4 linked regions of the Caenorhabditis elegans genome follow. The protein of the gene in region 3 interacts with the protein of the main gene of each other region in a pairwise test. Each region holds a gene or a part of one and is shown on either strand. Other genes may lie near its edges. The genes, in order: hda-3, pros-1, hus-1 and vig-1.

Evidence for each region.
Region 1: the proteins of hus-1 (region 3) and hda-3 interact in a two-hybrid assay, tested with the Caenorhabditis elegans proteins (2 studies listed by BioGRID).
Region 2: the proteins of hus-1 (region 3) and pros-1 interact in a two-hybrid assay, tested with the Caenorhabditis elegans proteins (3 studies listed by BioGRID).
Region 4: the proteins of hus-1 (region 3) and vig-1 interact in a two-hybrid assay, tested with the Caenorhabditis elegans proteins (3 studies listed by BioGRID).

The regions. Positions count from the first base shown.
Region 1 is NC_003279.8:11,912,287-11,919,754, reverse strand, and holds hda-3 (Histone deacetylase), read left to right. Parts: upstream 1-2,035; 5' UTR 2,036-2,042; coding exon 2,043-2,201; intron 2,202-3,438; coding exon 3,439-3,913; intron 3,914-4,895; coding exon 4,896-5,096; intron 5,097-5,956; coding exon 5,957-6,097; intron 6,098-6,208; coding exon 6,209-6,630; 3' UTR 6,631-6,964; downstream 6,965-7,468. Other genes in the region: fdps-1 (Farnesyl pyrophosphate synthase), read left to right, coding at 1,634-1,729; mag-1 (Protein mago nashi homolog), read left to right, coding at 7,079-7,138, 7,210-7,468.
Region 2 is NC_003281.10:8,065,503-8,071,989, forward strand, and holds pros-1 (Homeobox protein prospero homolog 1), read left to right. Parts: upstream 1-1,786; 5' UTR 1,787-1,835; coding exon 1,836-1,894; intron 1,895-1,943; coding exon 1,944-2,094; intron 2,095-2,611; coding exon 2,612-2,758; intron 2,759-2,824; coding exon 2,825-3,044; intron 3,045-3,397; coding exon 3,398-3,582; intron 3,583-3,629; coding exon 3,630-3,852; exon of another isoform or gene 3,853-3,983; intron 3,984-4,013; coding exon 4,014-4,485; intron 4,486-4,901; coding exon 4,902-5,046; intron 5,047-5,092; coding exon 5,093-5,200; intron 5,201-5,448; coding exon 5,449-5,523; 3' UTR 5,524-5,961; downstream 5,962-6,487. UniProt on the Caenorhabditis elegans protein: Transcription factor involved in developmental processes. Controls the transcription of genes required for excretory canal formation.
Region 3 is NC_003279.8:3,696,345-3,699,846, forward strand, and holds hus-1 (Checkpoint protein), read left to right. Parts: upstream 1-1,757; 5' UTR 1,758-1,767; coding exon 1,768-1,819; intron 1,820-1,875; coding exon 1,876-1,938; intron 1,939-1,983; coding exon 1,984-2,336; intron 2,337-2,410; coding exon 2,411-2,488; intron 2,489-2,540; coding exon 2,541-2,742; intron 2,743-2,792; coding exon 2,793-2,878; 3' UTR 2,879-2,956; downstream 2,957-3,502. Other genes in the region: msh-2 (DNA mismatch repair proteins mutS family domain-containing protein), read right to left, coding at 1-148, 195-648, 725-960, 1,008-1,191.
Region 4 is NC_003280.10:1,319,168-1,323,614, reverse strand, and holds vig-1 (Hyaluronan/mRNA-binding protein domain-containing protein), read right to left. Parts: upstream 2,579-4,447; 5' UTR 2,468-2,578; coding exon 2,404-2,467; intron 2,283-2,403; coding exon 2,169-2,282; intron 2,122-2,168; coding exon 1,938-2,121; intron 1,880-1,937; coding exon 1,453-1,879; intron 1,402-1,452; coding exon 1,054-1,401; 3' UTR 542-1,053; downstream 1-541. Other genes in the region: fcho-1 (FCH domain only protein 2), read right to left, coding at 3,361-3,486, 3,530-3,589, 3,637-3,863.

The sequences.
Region 1 (7,468 bases), 8.2 Mb from region 3:
AATTTTTTAGCCCATAAGTATCAAAAACCGGCCAAACAAAATTTCTGTAAAATTAAAATTCGTTTAAAAAAAATCGATTTTTCACTGAAAATAACGCAAAAACACATTTTTTCGCGAAAGAAAATCACAAATAGCTACAAAAAGCTAGCTCAGTGAATTTTTTAGAAAAAATCAACAATTTTCGTTTATTTTTCAGATTTTTGCAGTTTTTTTAGAAGGAAAGAAAAATGAGATTTTTTGTCGAATTTTCTAGGGAAAAATCACTGAAAATCGAGGAAAATTGTACAATTTTTCAATAATTTTTTAGAAAAATCGGTTAATTTAATTTTTCGAAGCTTAAAAAAATAGAAGTTATCTTAAAAAACCGCCTAAATTTAAAAAAAAATTAAGAAAAAAGGAAAAACCAGATAATTCACAAAAAAAAAACCACCTAAAGTTGTGATTTTTGCCGAATTTTCCAGAGAAAAATCATGGGAAATCGAAGAAAATTGCACTATTTTTCAGAATTTTTGCAGAAAAAAAATTTTGTCAATGAAAAATCTGATTTTCTTCGAAAAAACTACAAAAAAACATGATTTTTCGGTGTAGATATTAGGGAAAAAAATTTTTAACCAGAAATTATCAAAACCTCGCCAAAAAAAATTTCAAAAAAAGAAAAAACCAGAAGATTCACAAAAACTACGAAAGAAGCCGAAAATTTGAAAAAAAAATCGAGAATTTTTGTTTATTTTCTCTAGATTTTTGTGAATTTTTAGAAGAAAAAAAAAGTGGATTTTGCCGATTTTTCCAGAGAAAAATCGCTGAAAATCGAAGAAAATTGTTTTTTTTTCCAAAAATTCACAACAAAAAAATTAAAAAAAAAATCACCAGAAGCCGAAAATTTGACAAAAAACAGCTCTGTGAGTTTTTAGAAGAAAAAATCTAGAATTTTTGTTTATTTTTCAGCTCTTTCAGGTTTTTCAAGTGAAAAAATGCAGATTTTTGCCGATTTTTCCAGTGAAAAATTGCTGAAAATCGGCTTTTTCCAAGGCTTTTGCAGAAAAAAATTATTAAATGAATGAATTTACTTTTAAAAAATTGAAAAATCTGATTTTCTTTGAAAAAACTACAAACAAAAATCGTATTAAAAATCGATTTTCTCTGAAAAAAAAACGCAAAAAACATTTTTTTTTCGCGAAATTAAATCACAAAACCGAAAAATTCAATTTTTTAATTTTTAAAAATCGTACAAAAAATTTACGGAAAAAATCCGGAAAACTGTATATATTCACCAAATATATAGTGATTAAAATTTTTTTTTAAGTTAAAAAAAATTTTATTCAAAAAATAAAGAAAAAACCAAGAAAATTCACAAAAAAAACATAAAGAAGCATGTTTTTTGAAGAAAAAACTAACAGATTTTTCCGTTAAAAATAAACGAAAAAAACATATTTTCATAGAAAAAATCACTAGAAGCCGAAAATTTGTAAAAATGTTTTTTAAAAATAAAATTTATTCAATAAATAGAAGGAAATGACCAGAAACTCAGAAAAAATTGAAAAAATTTTTTTTCAATTTTTAATATTTCTTTTAAAAAAGGTAGTTTCCGGTGAAAAAAAAACCCCAAAAATCCAAAAAAGCTCCAAATTTTCAGATAAAAAAGAGCATATCCGAGATTCCTGACGTCATCAACCCACTGCGACCGGTTCTAGATGGATTTGTGACGAAGCTGGTGAACAGAAATGCATAGGAAATTCTTCAAAATTTTTCCGAATTTATTTTCAATTTAAATGTATATTTTTCGATGATTCTCTCTATTTCAGACCACCACCCCGTTTTATTGATTTTTTGAGCTTTCACCCACAGAAACCCTTTGCAAAAATTAATTTATTTTTTGACTCTAATTTAAATTTCTAAATTATATATTTATATATGAATGCTTGTTGTCCTTAAATATTTCCCCATTCCATTTTCCCCGAAAAAATCCGTTAAAAATCGGTTTTTATATACTTTTAAAATATATATTTTCCAGGCTTTTTTTTTCCAATTTTTTAAGCTTCCAGATGAGCCTCCAACACTCGAAATCTCGAGTTTCCTACTATTATGATGGAGATTTTGGAAATTTCTACTATGGACAAGGACATCCAATGAAACCGCATCGTGTTCGAATGACACATAGCCTTATTGTTAATTATGGATTATATCGGAAGCTTAATGTCATGGTATGGACCTCGAAATTTGGTGGATAGCTGGAAAAACTGCAGAAAAAATTGAAAAATTTAGATGAAAATTTCAGAAAAATTTCGAAATTTCAAAAAAAAATATTTTTTTCTTAATTTGCTGTTTTCGGGTCTCGACACGACAATTTTTTGAAGCAGCACAAACGGGTATGCGGCTTTAACGATTACCGTAATTTTGGAATTTTTATCGATTTTTCAAAAGTAAATGTGCCTTTAAAATTAGATTTACTAAACTCTGAAAAATCGATGAAAATTCCGAAATTACAGTAATCCTTAAAGGCGCAGCACCCGTTTGTGCCGCTTCACAAAAATTGTCGTGTCGAGACCCGTTGTTTGACGAAAATCGCAAGGGAGGAAAAAAATGAATTTAATTTTAAAAATCCGCAGTAAAATACACTTTTTTTTCCAGGAAACTTGTAGAAAATTTGAAAAAAGTGCTAAAATTTCGATTTTCGCAATATTTTTTGAGAAACTATCTAATTTTGTTGAATTTTTTAAAAATTCTTCTGAAAATCAGTTGCTTTGTGTGGCGGAATTCGAGATTTCAGGTAAATTTTGCAATTTTTCAGAAATTTTGCTTTTTTTTTTTTTTGAAAATTTGCACCTTTTCTGAAATTTTGCATTTTCAGAATTTTTGCTTTTTTTTGAAAATTTGCATTTTTTCTGAAATTTTGCAATTTTTCTTGAAAATTTCGTTAAAATTTTGCATTTTTTCTGAAATTTTCGGTAAAATTTTACAATTTTTCTAAAATTTTGCATTTTTCAGAATTTTTGCTTTTTTTTTTGAAAATTTGCATTTTTTCTGAAATTTTGCAATTTTTCTTGAAATTTTCGGTAAAATTTTACAATTTTTCTAAAATTTTGCATTTTTTCTGAATTTTTGCATTTTTTCTGAAATTTTGCATTTTTCTAAAATTTTTGGCTAAATTTTAAAATTTTGCATTTTTTCTGAAATTTAGCAATTTTTCTTGAAAATTTCGTTAAAATTTTACAATTTTTCTAAAATTTTGCATTTTTTTTTTGAAAATTTCGTTTAAATTTTGCATTTTTTCTGAAATTTTAAGTAAAATTTTACAAATTTTTTGAAATTTTCAGCTAAATTTTGCAATTTTTTCTGAAATTTTGCATTTTTTTTTGAAATTTTCATCTAAATTTCGTAAATTTTTGTCCATTTTAAATCCAAAAAACCTCCTCAAAATTTCCCATATTTTTTTTGCAGCGTCCCGCCCGTGCTTCATTCTCCGAAATCACACGTTATCACTCTGACGACTATATCAATTTCCTTCGTAACGTTAAATCCGATAATATGTCCACATTCACAGATCAAATGGCCCGATTCTCAGTTGGAGAGGATTGTCCTGTCTTTGATGGAATGTATGAGTTCTGCCAGCTATCATGTGGTGGATCACTGGCTGCTGCCGCCCGGCTTAATCGTCAAGAATCAGAAATTGCAATTAACTGGATGGGTGGTCTACATCATGCGAAGAAATCGGAAGCTTCTGGATTCTGTTACTCGAATGATATTGTTCTGGCGATTTTGGAGCTTTTGAAGCATCATAAAAGAGTTCTTTATATTGATATTGATGTTCATCATGGTGATGGAGTTGAGGAAGCATTTTATACGACAGATAGAGTTATGACTGTTTCATTTCATAAACATGGAGAATATTTCCCTGGAACTGGAGATTTAAAGGGTACGGGAAGAGAGATCTCTTCGATTTTTTAAATTTAAATTTTAAATTTCCGACAAATCTGCAAATTGCCTGAAAAAAATTTGCCGGAAATCGGCAAATTAATATTAGCTGAAAATTCGATTTTTTTTTTGGAAAAAATGTCGTTTTTTCGATGCTTTTGAGGGAAAATCGAAAAATAAATTTTTCAAAAATTTTTAAAATTAAAAAAAAATTCAGAAAATTAACTATAAAATAAGATTTTTTGGCGAATTTAATTTCAGCTAATTTTAATTTTCCGGCAAATTGGCAAACTGGCAAATTTTTGCCGGAAATCGGCAAATTGTCTGAATAGAAAATTTCCGGCGAGTTGCCGGAATTTAAGTTTTTGGCAAATTGCAGGAATTGAAATTTTCCGGGAAATTGCCGATTTGCCAAATTTGCCGGAAAATCGACAATTTTCCGGCAAACTGCCGGAATTTAAATTTTTGGCAATTTGCCGGAAATTAAATTTTCTGGAAAAACGGCAAATTGCCGGAATTTAGCATTTCCGGCAAATCGGCATATTGCCGGAGTTTTTAATTTCCGGCAAATCGTCAAGTTGCCGGAATTGACAATTTCTGGCAAATTGTCGGAATTGAAATTTGCTGGAAAATCGACCATTTGTCGGTAATGAAAATTTCCGACAAATTTGGAAAATTGCCGGAATTGAAATTATCCGGCAAAATGTCGATTAGCCGAGTTTCCCGGAAAAACGGCAAATTGCCGGAATTTGAAATTTCCGGCAAATGTGCGAATGGCAGGAATTGGAATTTGCCGGAAACACGGCAAATTTTCGGAATTTAAATTTCCGGCAAATCGTCAAATTGCCGATAATGAAAATTTCCGGCAGATCGGCAAATTGCCGGAATTTACCATTTCCGGCATATCTGCAAATCGGCAAACCGGCAAATTGCCGAAAATAGCTACATTTATTTCAAAAAATTTATGAAAAAGTTTTTTTCAGACGTTGGCGCTGGAAGTGGCAAGTACTATGCTCTGAATGTTCCACTTCGTGATGGAGTCGATGACGTCACTTATGAACGGATTTTCAGAACAATTATGGGAGAAGTTATGGCAAGATTTCAACCAGAAGCAGTTGTGCTCCAATGTGGTGCCGATTCACTGGCAGGAGATCGGCTAGGAGTATTCAATTTGACTACTTATGGTTTGTGTGTGTCGATTTACGAAGAAGCTCTCGTGTACTCCTCGTGGAGAAGATTTTCTCAGTTTTCGGCAAAAATTCTCGATTTTGGATCATTTTCGCTAGTTTAAACTAAAATTTTCACAAAAAATCAAGAAAATTCGTTAAAATGGTGATTTTCGCGGCGAGACCCATCCGAACTCGTCTGTGCGCCTTTAAGTAGGAATTGTGGAGAAATTCGGAATAATAATAGCAAAATCACGAATTTTAAGTAAAAATTGAGAGGAAACCTACCTAAAAATGGGATTTTTATCGGAAAAAGTGCTAAAAAATGCTTTTCTCACTGAATATATCGGAATTTCTTAGTTTTTGGCGAAATTTTGTGATTTTGGGCCATTTTCACTAGATTTAACACTCAAAAAATCAAGAAAAGTCGTTAAAATAATGCTTTTCGCGGCGAGACCCATCCGAACCCGGCTGTGCGCCTTTAAATAGGAATGGTGAAGTAATTCGGAATAACAATAGCAAAATCACGAATTTTAAATAAAAATTGAGAGGAAACCTACCGAAAAATGGGATTTTTTCGATGAAAATTACTGAAAAATCGGATTTTTTCACGAAAAACATCAGAAAAAACGGAAAAAATTCAGTTTTTCTCGGAAAATATGCTAAAAATTGCCTTTTTCACAAAAAAAAAAACAGATAATGAGTTTTCTATGACAAAAACAATTTTTTAAAACGTATTTTTAACGAAAAACATCTGAAAAATCACGGAAAAAAACTCCAATTTTTCCCGGAAAATGACCAAAAATTAGATTTTTTCATAGAAAATAACCAAAAAATTGGCCTTTTTCTCAGAAATAAGCAAAAATTTTTTTTTTCAGGACACGGAAAATGCGTGGAATACATGAAAAGCTTCAACGTGCCGCTTCTGTTAGTTGGCGGTGGTGGATATACGATTCGAAATGTCTCCAGATGTTGGCTGTACGAGACGGCGATCGCTTTGAATCAAGAAGTTTCAGATGGTATGGAAATTTCGATTTTTCCCCCGGAAATTTGCGAAAAAACGGCTTATTTTCGGCAAAAAATCTTGAAAATTCGAATTTCCCGCTAAAAAATGCCAATTTTTCTTCCAGATCTGCCCCTCCACGACTACTTTGACTACTTCATCCCGGACTACAAACTACACATAAAGCCGCTCGCCGCTCTTTCGAACTTCAACACTCCTGAATTCATTGATCAAACGATTGTCGCGCTTTTGGAGAATTTAAAGCAACTTCCACACGTTCCATCGGTCCAAATGCAATCGATTTCGACGAGTTGTGACTCAATTGTGAAGACTTTTGACGAGAAACTGATCCGAGATCATCAGAATGATGACGTCAGAGTTACTCAGTTCGAGGAAGACGTTCAGGTGGAAGATTCGGCGGAATTCTACGATGGTCAAGAGCCGGAGACGAAGAATATTCAATCGATGAAACGGCACGCGAGTCCGATTTGTGCGGCGCAAGAGGAGATGAAGAAAAATCGGATTGATGGCGGCGAAAATGTGGCATAATTTGGTTTTAACTTGATTTTCTGTATGCACTAACTTTGTATTTATATCGTCTCTTCAAACTATTTCTTTAATTTATACGAATCTCAACTTCTCTAAACCTCTATTGATCCTCAAATCTATTTAAATCTTTCGTTAAATCGACAATTAAAAAATTTCCGTCGTCAAGTGTGGTGCCGGTGGTGCATACACCGCCGCGCACAAATGCACAGATTTCGGCGTTTTCGAATTTTTATCGGATTTCTTTTCTCTATATTTTAAAGGATATTTTCTATCGTTTCTTGTCTAAAAACACAGTTTTTATCGAATTTATCACAATATAAACCTATTTATCATCTTTCTTTTGTGAATTTTCACTGAAAAATCAGGTTTTTTTACCTTGAAATTCTAATTTTCACCCGGTTTTATTTAATGGATGTTTGGATTTTCTCAATTCCTATTTATTTTCAGAATGAGCGGCGAAGAAGAGAAGGCAGCGGACTTTTACGTTCGTTACTACGTTGGACACAAGGTAGGTCTTGGAAAATCTTGGAAAAATGACAATTTTCGCCAATTTAAATTAGTTTACGAAACAATTTTCAGGGAAAATTCGGTCACGAATTTCTCGAATTCGAATTCCGTCCAAACGGATCGCTTCGCTACGCGAACAACTCCAACTACAAGAATGACACGATGATCCGCAAAGAGGCGACAGTGTCGGAATCGGTGCTCAGCGAGCTCAAGCGTATCATCGAAGACTCGGAAATCATGCAGGAGGACGATGACAATTGGCCAGAACCAGACAAGATTGGACGCCAGGAGCTGGAAATTCTGTACAAAAACGAGCACATCTCGTTTACGA
Region 2 (6,487 bases), on a different chromosome or scaffold from region 3:
TACCATGATGTCTTAGATGGTAAGGGGATAACTTCTTAGATCATCTAAGAAGCTCTGAGATTCTATAGCATAGATCTTAAGTACTTTAACAGCACTACAGAAACTTATAGGATATGCTTTTGATTTCTGTATTTTCTAAGAAAACTACTTGAATATATTCTTCTGAAAATTCAATGTGCATCTGGAATTCTTTTGACAGTGCAGACTGCGAAAATGCCTCTATGCCTGCGATGCTCAAAACTTCATGAACCCTAGTGTTTGAAAAAGCTTTCACAGTTTGGAAAAAACCACAATTAGGGATCAAAATCAATATTTACAAAAAACCAAAAAGATTCGCTTTCAATGCGACCTACGCCTAGTTTACCACCTAGTTTCCTACGAGTTATGACTTTTAGCAAAAACTCTTCAAAGCACAGGTAGGTAGGTACAAAAATGACTGAAAATGTTAGAGTTTATGCTGACGCGGCCCACCAGGTTGCGTACGTACAGGCGTTATTGCTTCAATGATCCTAAGTATACACAAAGATAAGAATTTAGAAAAACTTAACTGGAAAATAAAAGCTCAGCCATTTTTTCGAGAATTTAATATAAAATTTTAAAAATCAGAAAAAAAATAAGTACAAATCTCAAAATCTTTCTAGAATGTTCTTCGAAAAAAGAAGACGTTGACGAAATTAAGAATTCAATCTTCGTCCATTGTTCTGCCAAGTGCATAAGATTCTTCTCTTCTCTCAAATTTATACGATGAAAAATTAATGTTTCTTCCGATATTCTTCTTTTCACACAATTTCTTTTTCTTATTTATATTCTAAAACGAAAGTGTCAAGGGAGAAGAAACTAAAAAAGGAGAAATGTTTAGGAGTCATGGTGATTTGAAAACTTTGAAGTATACTTCTATATGTCCTCCTGTCCTAGGTCTCCTCTTGTCCCATTAAAACTTCACACATTTTCTTTCCCAAAAACTTTAGTCTTCTTAAGAATGACGTGAAATTTATGGGAGAATTAAAGAATGCTCCTCTCAAATTTCTTTCTGTTTCTCTCAAAAACTACCGTAGTCGTCCCCAATCGTCTCCATTTTCATCTTCTTCAACCTTCTCCAGAGACCCATTACCTAAATTGTTTCTTGTGAGCTACACATATGTGCCTCCTTTTGGCTCCTTTTAGTCACTCAGACAAATCTCTTCCTTTTTGCTTTTCGCAAAAGGAAATTAGTTTTCCACTTAGGTTCTCAGCATTTTCAAATTTTATTGGAAATTTTCCGAAGCTCCATTGGTCTTGAGCGAAGAGTTTTTGTAAAAAATGGTGCTAAGAGAAATCTTAGACTCTCTATAACTTTTAGCGATCTTGATTGAAGTTTTTTCTGATCCCGTAAGATTTAGAGAATTCATACACGACATGACGCCTAAGTACCCTATAGATACTGTAGACGTCTTCCAGTAAAACATCTGAAAGTTGTTTCGGTATGGAAACAGAGATTATGCTAATAAAATAATTCGGCAGAAAGTGGCAAGTCACTTGTCTTCGCCCGTTTCCTTTTTTGCATAATCCTACTTACGACCGTTATGATGTTGATGATGATCGAAAAGATTAGATGTATTTTTGAGTATGACATAACAAAAACTTTCAAGTTGTTACCGTAATCCACCCCCTTCAATTTCAATATGTATATCCTTGGCTCTTGTATATGTGTATGTATATTCTGATTTAATAACATTTCGACTCCCCACTGTGCTTTTCTTGCCTTCTCTTTATTCGTATTCAATTTCAATTCTTTATTTTCTTTCAGGTATTCCAATTCCAATTGTCAAGAATTCAGATAGCTAGTGACGTCATCAATGTCATCTGGATTGCCTTCGATTGCTGCTACCGCACAACCGAGTGCCAACGGATTCAGGTAACAGACTTTTACCCTGGAACTCTTTAAAAAACTAACAAAGTTTTAGCTTTAACAACGGATTCCCACCATTCGGTATTTACTACTCTCAACTTCCCCCTGTTAACTCTAACGGATCCACCCCGAATTCAAGTAACCGATTCAAAGTGAAACGCCATCGACAGAGAGTTGACGCCGGTGAACCAAGAAACACATATCAGGTAGGCAAGAAACATTTTTAAACCGGCAATACAATACTCCGGACTTTTGTCTTGCATCTCCATTTCTCACCTTTCAAAGCTTATCTCTCTCTGAATTTTTGACGAAATCAAAATGCCAAACGCAAAACCAAACGCATATAAGTTTTCAAAGTAGATTTCAGTTAACTCAGTTAATTAGTAGTAGCTTTAGTTAACTGCAACGTAAATGTTGGAAACTTTAAAGTTGACAAAAATGGTCAAAACTAAATTTAACTGTACTGTAAGTTGGTATGTTTTTCTTGGCAAAGTAGTTCAAGGAAAACACAGTTTTCTAACTGAAACGTTTGATAATCCCGACAAAATCGAAAAAATAAATATGCAAATCTACGTGTCATAATCATAAGATAAGTGTCTTCCTGTATTTCGGCGGCGACATATACATTGTTCCTTTACTTTCCCATCAACTAATATATTCATTTCGTGGCGGTTGCTAATCAGCTCATCTCATTCTCTCTTTTACTCCTTCATTTTATTCCAGGGAGCCTCTACATCAGTCTCTTCAAATAGTTCTTCATCATCGTCTACATCAAATACAAATTCAACACCTTCTTCATCTTCAACATCTTCAAAGAAGTCAACGGAAGGGATGACTGAGACGGAAACGATGACAGCTTCAATTGAACAGGTACGAGAAGAGAGAGGAAGAGGGGATAATAAGATTAGCCTAGTTATTTATGATACTTTCTTATAGGAAAAAGTGATTCAAAATGAAGAATCGGAAGCTGGTAAAGATGGAATGGAAGAGCATGATGATGGAATGAATGATTTCGAAATTATTGATGATACAAATGATGAAGTTGAAGAATCAGAAGAACGGGAGAGCCCTGAAAGTAACAGTAGCTCTGCTTCAAAAAGGAAAAGCTTTCAACCACAGAAAATTGGAGAGGAGTTAGGAATTGAATTTGGAGATGGTTAGTTTTATTAATTGATGTATCATATTACCGTTGTTCTTGCATACTTACTTACTTGTTAGGTATTCAGTAAGTCAGTAAGTTTGTTAGCTAGTTAACTACTACTTCACTTTGAAAAAAAAATTCTCACTTCCTTTTAAGCAAATCAATAAATATTACACTACAAAACGATAGTCATAACAAATATTTTGTCAGTTGACAACTTTTGAATAGAATCAACGACCTTTGAAATACATATAAGCTGTCAAATTTGTAGTACAAAAATAATAGAAAACATTAACTTGATCATAAACTTGACTCATAAACTTGACTGTCTTAACTTAAAAGAAAATTTAATAAATTCAATTTTGCAGAAACGGAGCAAATTAATGTTACTGTTGGAGGTACAGAAGAAGCCGAAGAGACTACAGATGAAGCTGAAGGTAGAGAACTCTCGGCTCTTCAAGCTCAGCTTCAAAATGGACATATCGCTGAGCAGCAGAGACGATTTTATGCTGCATTTTTAGATCAGCAACGGAAACAGGTTGCAGCGGCACAGGTATACAATTAAAATGTTCATTAACTTTCTAAACTGAAAATGTTTAGATTTTGCACAATGGAAAGATCAACATCGAACGTCTTGTCTCCTCGGTTAAAGGAGATTTAGTTACCAATTTCATGAAAGATTTGGAAAAGGTGATCCGTGATTGGGCTGCCGATGAAGTATTAAAGCAAGAAGCTGCTGCTCCTCCTCAGATTCCACAACCTCCACCTCAATTCCATCCAATTTTCCCTGCAAACCCATTGTTCCACATGGCGCCTCCACATCGTAAGTTATTTACACAGCTTTTCTATTTGCCCTTTGACCAGAAAAATGTCGGCCGAATGGTCTAGTGGTATGATTCTCGCTTTGGGTGCGAGAGGTCCCGGGTTGAATCCCCGGTTCGGCCCAACATTTTTTGAAAAAATATTTGCTTTTTGCTCTTGTAGATCCAGTTGCTGGAGGTGGAATTTTTCCTCCAAACTTCAATGCATTTAACGCATTCAACGCTCTCCGAAGAAATCTTCAAGACGTAGATACCTCGTCGGAAATGAAAAAGAAGCGAACAAAGGTGGAAATCAAGAAAGAAGACGCAATGAGTAGCCGTGCATCACCATTGAGTGCATCTGCCAGCCCACCACTCTCCAGATTCTTTCCAGCACCAACTATGGTTGGACACTACGGTGGAATGAACTTTGGAGATCGAGAGGACTCACCAACAAATTCCGATGAGCTCAGTGAATGTGGATATGAAGGTGGTGGCTCAAGTTCAATGTTAACACCAATGCACTTGAGAAAGGCAAAGCTGATGTTTTTCTACACACGATATCCAAATTCAAATCTGCTGAAATCGTATTTCCCTGATATCCGATTCAATAAGAATAACACTGCACAATTGGTGAAATGGTTCAGTAACTTCAGGTTGGTTTTAATAATGAAAATTCTTCTCTGGTACTCGCCATTGATTTCTTAACTTCATGGTTATCTCCTGTTGTTTTGTTGTTTGGAGTCATAATGACCTTTCCCATTACAAATACTGCTTCATAATTCGAAAAAGTGATGAGGTGAAAAAGAAAACAAACAAATCCTCGTCTCTCTCAGTCCAACTCGTTTCGTTTCAAACAATGAGAAAAGGGTCTTAAGGTGTGATACGCGTCGTTGGCGAAGAAAAGACATCATCATGTCGACGTCTTCATCATAAAAATGTGGGCAAAAAAAGAAAATGAAGAAGGAGAAGATTATTTATATTTGAATTGGATTCAGGAGATGAAGTTAGGCAATGGGGAGACGAAATCAAATAGGTTCTTCTTATACTGTACCAACTCAAATATTTTCAGAGAGTTCTACTACAATCAGATGGAGAAGTTCGCGAGACAAGCTCTCGCTGAGGGAATTACTGATAGAAATGATATTTTTGTGTCAAAAGACAGTGAACTTTTCAAAGTTTTGAATACACATTATAACAGAAATAATCATATTAAGGTACGGTTTCTTTTCGTAAGCAACACTAAATTTATATAATTTGCAGGCACCAGATCGTCTTGTATTTGTGGTTCAAGAGACTCTTCGTGAGTTTCATGATGCAATCAAACAGGGAAAAGATATTGAACCATCATGGAAGAAAACAATCTATAAGGTAGGTAGGAGTGCCTTCATAACAGAGTTCTAACAATAAGACAGTAGGCACGCGTGTAGGTATGTGATGGGCGTTGCCTACGAGCAGGTCTGCATGAAATGGTAGGCGCACATGTAGGCATGAAACAGGTGCACAAGGCAGGAGTGGCAATTTTTGAGTTTCTCAATTGGTGCTCAAATATTTTGAAAGCTCTAAACTTTTGTGTTTTGCCATATTCCAATAGAAAATCAAACTTACCCTTTTTGCAGGTTATCAATCGATTGGAAGATCAGATTCCCGACTTCTTCAAGGAGCCAAACTTCCTCGAGCGTCTTGAAACATAATCACCATATATTCCCTCTCATTATCAGTTTCTCAATATTTCAGTTTTCCTTGTTTATGTGTTCCATTGTGATTTTAAAACTTTATTGCCCATGTTTTCCCTCATCCCATTCGAATATCAATTACCCCATCCAATTTAACTCTCATTCCTTGACAACTTTCATTCTAAGTCCCCATTTCAAAATGTGCAATTTAATATTTATTTGAGCTCTCTGGAGCTCGTCTTCCTCATTTTCTTTGTCAAACGCTTTTTGTGTTATTGGTTTCAATTGAACATTCAAAAATTCCCAATTTTGCCACATGGCATAATCCTCCAATTCTATTATGGTTTCCATTTTCCCCAAAACTTTCTGTGCCTCCGATTTCTATATTTTCATTCGATGTTTCTTATTGTAATATTGGTATGGAAAATATGGAACATTCAATATCACTTGCGGTCCTATAATTAAAACCAGAAACCTACATGCATCTGGCCCGGAAAAAAACAGTATGCAGACTTCTTATCGGTGTGGCTAATAGTCAGTTTTGCTATTTTTGCTCCTATAACACGGCACACGGTCTCACGATATTTTTATTAAGTTCCAAAAGGTGTGCACCTTTAAAGAGTACTGTAACTTCAAAATCTCGTTGCTGCGAAATGAAAGAAACAGGATAAAAGTGAAAGAAAATTCTGCAGAAATGAATGTTTGAAATTACAGTACTCTTTAAAGCCACACACCTTCTCGCATTTGATAAACATTTGTCGTATCGAGACCGGATACCGTACTTTTGGTACAACATCGCAAAATTTCTCGCCCGTGTAATAATAATCTTTAAATAATGTTAAGGTATACCCCCTCTTGTGTGCAATTCATAAATGGCGGCCGAGTGATAAAAAAAGGAAAAGTTTCCATTTTTTAGTAAGATGTTCCAATTTTGGTTCGAAAATAAAAACAAAAAAGATAACAAGTAAAACTGTATATTTTC
Region 3 (3,502 bases):
TCGAACAAAGCTTCAACAATATCCAGTCGCTCGTTGATGTGATCGATCTGGCAAAGTGGACGAGAAAGCCAATCACGGAGCAACTTCTCTCCAGGAAGAGTCTTGCATTTGTTTAAAACATTGTAGAGCGTCAAATTATTCGATTTCTCTGAAATTAAATTATTTTCAAGGAAAATGTAACATTATAACTCTACCCAAATAATTATAATTCAATTGGAAAAGCTCCAGAGCCTCCACAGCACATGAATCAATCAGCATATTTCCATGAGTTCCGTAATTGAAAATACTATACTTCTCAGAAATACTGTATTCATCGGCTGCGTTCGAGTGTAGAATTTGAAGGCATTCCTTGATGTTTTCGTTTTGTTTTTCGGCTTCATCTTTATAATCCAGATGAACCGACTCGATTACATCGCTCCATTGTGACTTTGGCTTCAGCTGTTGCTTGTTGTGAACCTCCATTCTCGTGAACATGCTTGCTATTTTCTTAGCCTTCGGTGCAACTGATCCTTCATTCACTAGAATATATTCTGTGGGGCATAGTCCAAAAATGCATTGTTCCGTTTGAGAAAAAGAAGGAGTATCGATGTATTCACTGATCACAATGCGAACATTTCCAGCATCCCAAGCGCACAATGTTACTCGATTCTGAAATTGGGAATTAATTTAAAAATCTAAAAATCTATAAATCTCTAAATCTAAAAATCTATAAAAATCGTCATACATCATCATCTCCTGGATGAATATAGATTGCAAGAATCGGAGCCTGATCTGACACTCCAATTTCTTGCTCAAAATCCACAGTATTTCCTGGAGATCCACGCTTCGTCATTTTCCACTCTCCCTGTTCACTCGAGTATAGCTCAACGGAGCATCTGAGCAGTACGATGGTTTCACGAACGACCTTCTCGTATTGTCCACGATTTACGGAAATGTACTTCATTTGTTGAGAATTGTCGGCTGAAATTTCACATTTACAGATTTTATTTTGATTTTTCGAGTCTTACTTGATAAAGTGAACGTTTTGACGCAAACATCACTCTTGAAAATGTTAGTAGCGACAAAGGTGGCGTCATCGCCATACACAGAAAAGTATTCGCCTCGTGAGAAAATGGCAATTGTGTTCGGTGATTTAGATTTTAGGATTTTTAGGAGCGCTTTGTCGCTGGCTTCGTCTTTTCCTCCACTCATTTTCGATTTTTTCGCTGAAAAATTCGAATTTTTGTGATAATATAGAGTAAAAGTGAAGAAAAAAGAGTTCATCAACGAAAAATGATTCGACAGAAAGGCCGCTTACTTTTGAAAAGAAATTAAAGGTGCATACAGTATTTCTGTAAAATGGTCCTGCAGGGAAATAGTGTCTCATTGTTTTGGGATTTTTAGCATTTCTAAATTGAATTTAAATGATTAAAAATTAAACAAAGAATATAATCAAATTATTTAAAAGTTCTGTAATAATTTAGATTTTAATAAAAAGAAGGCGAAAATCACATGTTATGCTTACTGTTAAAGATTAAAGGCACATACAATAATACGGTGAATTGGTTTCGCAGGGAAAGAGATACGGTGGTTTTTATTTTTAAACTAATTTTTGTTTCATTTTTCCTTGCAATTTTAACTCTAAACATAATTATTTTAAAAAATTTCGAAAAATATCAAAAGTAAAGTCTTTTTTCAAATTTCTTCCATCGCGCGCGATTTTCCCTTTTTCATTCTCCGTCTCCTTCTCTTTCTAACTAATTTTCACTATTTTCTAGGTTTCAAACAATGAAGTTCAGTTCTCTTCTCCAAGATACTGCGGCAATCGACGTGTTTATCAGTGAGCAGACTGATTATTAAAAAATCTATGAAATATCTGAAAAAATTGTCTTTCAGAAATTTTGACATCAGTGAGCAAATTGAGTAAGAAAAGATGCTGCGTCAAAATAGAAAAGAATGGTTTTAAAAATCCTGTTTTATTAATAAAATTCTATGAACTTTCAGCTCTCAACTTTATTTGCTGTTCAGGACTCCATGATGGTGGAAGTTGGTTCAGTTTATCAATTCCCTATAGCAGTCAAATTTTCCGAAAATTCGATATGGTTGGCATGAATCCACGAAACGAAGAGCAAAATTTGATTTATTTTGAATTGGAAATCGATAGTTTAGTACGTGTTCTGCCCGGCGGACACTGTTATCTGAAACTGAAACTATCGAAAAGTCAAAAAGATGAGCCAATGTTGTCTGTCGAAGTTAGAAATCCAGAAGCCGATATTGTTTCTCATCAAATTCCAATCACAATTATTCTATCAAAATATTGGAATTCGTACTCCAGGCCGTCAATTGGACACAGAAAAGTAAACGATTTTATGATGATAATTATAACTTTACATTAATTTTTTTAATCTCTATTGAAAAAATATATTTACAGATGTCAATCAGCATGCCACCTCCTAAAATGATGTCCCGTTTCTTACACGTCTTCAAAAATATGAACACTCGAGTTGTGGTAATAATATATACACAAATAAAGTCCTGAAATATAAGTTAATTTCATCCAGAAGCTCACAGCCAGTACATCAGGAGATTTGAGGATTTCTACGAAAATTGAAACTGGCGAGATTGATGTAAGCTTCTCGGATCTTCAAACTAATCCATCGGAAACCGATAGTCAAGAGGATACTGCAAAAGTTCAATTAATGATTCGAAATATTTCTCCATTGTTTCAAAGTTTCGCCAACACTCGGACACGTGCCAAAATGAGTAGGATCGGAAATATTTTGATAATTTTTAACAAAAAAAAAATTTTCCAGATATCATCTCAAATCGAATGGCAGAATTCAATTTTCACAATGAGGATTGCGTTCTTTCGTATATTGTTGGAAATGTTTCGGATTAGAAATAATGTTTTTTGTCGTTGTTTGAATGCCTAATTTTCTAGATCTCATAAATTCTGCAAATAAATTTTTTATTTCTTAAAATATATATCCATTTATCAACTGGCTTATTGGCTTTGATTTTCAAAGCATCTTAATTTAAATTAAGTTTAAAATCAGAATATCAAGTTTTTCAAGCGAATTTTTAAACATTTATTTTTTGATAAACTGTATAAAATTCCAAAAAAAAGATAAGCTTGAAAAAACTTTTATTTTGATAGCCGAAGTTCAAGAGGAAGTTGAAAAATAAATTTTTTTTCTAAAATTGCTGGAACTCAGGCAACTCAAATCTAATATGAAAATATTAAATAGCAATATTTTTGTAGTTGGGTGATATTTCAAGATAAAATCGCAATATTCCGAGACTTATTCGAAATCTTTTTAGATTGAGCAATATTTTGAGGTTGATTCGCAATATTTCTGAATCTGAAAATATTACGAAAAATTCGTAATATTTTGAGATGACATAGCAATCTTTTGAGATTGGTTCGCAATCTTTCTGAAATCTAAAAATATTACAAAAAAATGTGTAATATTCTAAGATTAATTTGCAATCTTTTTGCAGTCCATAAAGATTACAAAACATC
Region 4 (4,447 bases), on a different chromosome or scaffold from region 3:
CAGAATTGTAGTTTATAGTCTAAAAAGCTTCTCAGGGGACCTAATTCAATTTCAAATTCGGACGCCGCTGCTGTCATAAAATCGTTACTAAACTTGCGAAATAGCAATTTCCAAAGAGAGAAGAGTCGCAGGAAGATTTAATTAAAAATTAAATTATTTCGAACGCAAGCTCGCTCTATTGAGAATCTGAAGAATTAAAAATTCTAATTTAGGCGGCTAACAGAAGGGAAATCAATAAGAAGTGAAAGGAGAGCAAAAGTTTTTGCCGAGCAATGGGGAGGGGGGGGGGTGCTCCCTCTCTCCCGCTGAAGAAGACGTCGCGGCTCTCTAAAAGAGGCGGCAGAGAATCAGAGCACTCGGCTCGCGGCCTAGAAATGGCATGTGTCAGGCCACGCCCCTGTGGTTGGTTTAGACCGTTTTATTACAAAATACGGATACAGTTGGGTGGGGGGGGGGGGGGGGGGTGTGTGGAGGCAAAAAGAAGAAAAATGGGTGTTTGTGTGTGTGTGTGATATAGAATGATTGGGGTGTTTAACACAAAAATGATGCTTTATCAAATCTTGTTAACAACAAACTCCAATTAAAACGAAACCTGGGCGCAATGGGGTGGTGGTTGGAAGGGGCACAAATTGAGTTTCCTAGTACTAGTTCGTTGATCCTTGACACAATTGAGACCTTTTGTTGTGTCAAATATTTGGTAAAGAAGAGGTCGTCTTGGTGGGTGTATGTGGAAGATCAAGGGATTCAAAGGGCTTAAAAATTAAAGAAAAAACGGGAGATAACAAGCAAACCAAATCGAGGGCAACTCATCAGAAGAGAGATCGATAAGGCAGGTGATAACAACAACAAGCTAAATGGGGGAACTAGAAAAAAAAGAAAAATAAGAAACAGGCATTTTGGAAACGAACAATTTGTGGGGTAGATGGGCACAGGCAAAGATATTGAAAAGAGGAGAATTTTGAAGAAAACAAGATGGAGAGAAGAACAGAGCATTTGAATGAGGGCGGGCGAATTGGTTGGTTGGCTGAAGGTCGTTGAGTGGGGGGGGGGGAATTACTTGGCACCGAGAGCTGGGAAAGCATCGTCAGAAGCGTTGAATGGAGTGTTGTTGCGTCCTCCATGACCTCCTTGACGTTGTCCTCCACGGCCTCCACCGCGTCCACCTCCTCTTGGTCCTCCACGTTGCGGCCTCTCAGAACGGTCGTTGCGCTCGCGTTCTGGACGATCGTTGCGGAAAGTGATCGAAATGTCGAGCACTTGCTTTCTTGGAGCCTTGTGGATTACGACGACCTCGTCTTCCTCACGATCTGGGATGACCTCCTTCTTGATTGGAACGAGCTTGCCAAAAGTATCGGCGGCTCCCTCTCCGGCCTTTCTGGTGTTGAACTTTGGAGCGTCAGCCTGAAACAAAAAAAAAAATAAATTCCAAAACTAATATTTTATACGACTCACCTTAGCCGCAGCCTTGAACTCCTTAAGAGTCTTTTGCTTGGCAAGAACAGCCAACTCAGCCTCGTAGGCGAGCTCCTCAGCGGTCTTCTCACGTGGAACCTCTGGCTCGGTGCTCTCAGCGCCCTCTGGAGCAATGTTCTCGGTTTCTCCAGCCAACTCGTCCTTCTGGTCTCCCCAGTTGCCCTTTCCGTGTCCGTCCTTCTTGTCGAATGAGCGAACTCCGGTACGGTCGGATCCGGATTGACGATCGAATTGACGCCCACGTCCACCACGGCCTCCTCCACGTCCGCCAGATGGTCCACCTCCAAGGGTGAATCCTCCACGACGTCTTGGGGCACGGGTATCTTGTCCGTCTTCGAAAGAGACCTCTTGCTTTGGCTCCTCTCCTTCTCTGTTCTCGCGAGTGAATCCTCCGCGGCCTCCACGTCTAAAATACAAAGTTCAGTAAAATGAAAAAAAAAATTAAAAATTTAAGCGTTTCTTACCCAGCTGGACGAGCAGCACCGCGCTCACCGCCTCTGCGGGGTCCTCCACGACGGTTCTCGCCTTGTGGACGATCACCGTTCTCGTTGGAGACACGTTCTCCGTCACGTGGACGGCCGGCTCCCCCGCGTCCGCGACCACGTCCTCCGCGTCCACGTCCAGCAGCACCGTCGGTTTTGGTGGCGGCTGAAATAATGTTTAATTAATTTAAGAATAGGAATGCCAATTCTTACCAACTGGAGCAGCGGCTGGCTTGACCGGCTGGGCGGGCTTCACAGACTTTTCCTCCTTCTTCTTGGCGGCGATTTGAGACACCTTTTGGATGAGCTCTCTTGGGTCGTCATACTCTGCAAATTATCGATTTTTTATAATGTCTTCTGGGCGGAGTATATCGCATATGAATATTGCGCAATATCCCATCGGGAAGATAAGATAATCATCCGGCGATCATCATCATCAACCACTCACCATCGTCGTCGTCGGATGGAAGACCGAACTTGTTGGTGACCTGGCAACCGTATTCAGTGCTCATTTTTGCTGTTTGTGTTGATTCGATGAAGATAAGATTCCAAGTGCAGGAAGCTTCTGTTCAATTCAATAATTTCAATGCCAAGTTAATCAATAACCCATAATATGGGGATACCTGCAAGAACGTTAGTTTAGATTTCAAATTTTCAAACAAAAATCGATATTTAAGAAAAGAGTATAATTAGCCAGACACCGTTGCGATATTTTAAATCAGTTAAGCACTTTTCACAACTAAAATCAAAAAATAAAAAAAGCAAATTGCATTTTCTTAAGGGAATTTTTGAATGTTCCAGAAAGAAATCGAATCAAAAGTCAGAAAATCAACAATTGCTCAAAATCCACTATTTCGGAATAAAATAAACATTTTTCAGTGCAATTTTGATCAAAAATCGGTGATTTACTGCTAGCAACCCAAAAAATTACAAAAAACCGGCGAAAACGGTCAAAAAAAATCGGAAAAACTGTTCAAATCGGACAGGTGAAGGTTTGGCTGCGTATCACAATAGTGTAAACTGGCGTTTGCGAGCCGCTACGCAGCCAAATGCGACCGCCGAAATGGGCGGCAGTTTGAAATCGAAAACTAGTCCTCGGCCATTTTCAATCAATTTTTGGTTGGGGGAAAACTTGTTTTCCAATTGTTTTTGTTGTCTTAAAGTATTTGAAAAGAAATTTATGACATTTCCAGCCCAAAATGTGTGTAAAAAAAGTAAAAATGCCGGGAAAAAGTATTTATTACAGCGGGGGATAACGAATAATAGTGGAAAAACTCGTTTGGTGGTGAAAAATTGGAAAACTAGAAGTTGAAAGTTTGTTAAAATCACAGATTTCGCGAGAATTATGCTATATTTACACAGAAAAATTAAAACAAAAATCAAATTAAAAAGCTCTTCATCTTCTCTATTTCCGCAGCTCGGGATCACAAAAATATTTACCAGCGAGCACCTTTTTACGAATCATAGACAGGTGATAAATATCCGATTGCACTAGGGAAATGTCCACTCCAGATAGATTGGCTTCCAGGCACTGAAAAAGATAAATTAAGAGCTTAAATTTCAGTTTTTAGTACCTGAAATTGCACGAAGACCTGCGCCGGCTTCCGATCGAGCATTTCCAAGCTTACTTCGTCCTGGAAAATTATATATTTTTTATTTTAAAGCAATTAAAAAGCCCGACCCCAGAATTCTTCATAAATATCCTTGCTTTCAGCGATCCGTGCACATCTCCATTTCTTGAAATTTCCAGCAAATTCCAGCCGAGTGACGGATTTCCAGCCACCCATTTGGCTTCTGGCTCACACATCACAGAATCCACGCTTCCCGTCAAATTTGTGCTGAAATTCACGTTGAGAAGTGGCGCCGAGATGGAAGATTCTGAGTTGAGGCGATAGTCGACACGGAGATCTGAAAAGAAATGCGGATTTTTATTATTAGGCTTTATTTTTGGCGTTTGCATTTAAAAAGTACTACAAAAAACTCAATTTTATTTAGCAGACTCAGCAATTTTGCCAATTTCAATAAAAAATTTGGGTCTGCTACACTACAAACTACAAAATCAAATTTAGCAGACCTATCAATTTTCTGCAGTTTTTAATAAATTTTGGTCTGCTAGACTACAAACTACAAACTCTTAATTAGCAGACCCATCAATTTTCTGCAGTTTTTAATAAATTTTGGTCTGCTACACTACAAACTACAAAATCAAATTTAGCAGACCTATCAATTTTCTGCAGTTTTTAATAAATTTTGGTCTGCTAGACTACAAACTACAAACTCTTAATTAGCAGACCCATCAATTTTCTGCAGTTTTTAATAAATTTTGGTCTGCTAGACTACAAACTACAAAGTCTTATTTAGCAGACCAATCAATTACTGCGCTTTTTAGGAAATTTTGGTCTGCTAGACTACAAACTACAAACTCTTAATTAGCAGACCCATCAATTTTTCGCAATTAATATTAAAAATTCAAATTTTCTCAAAAACACAGA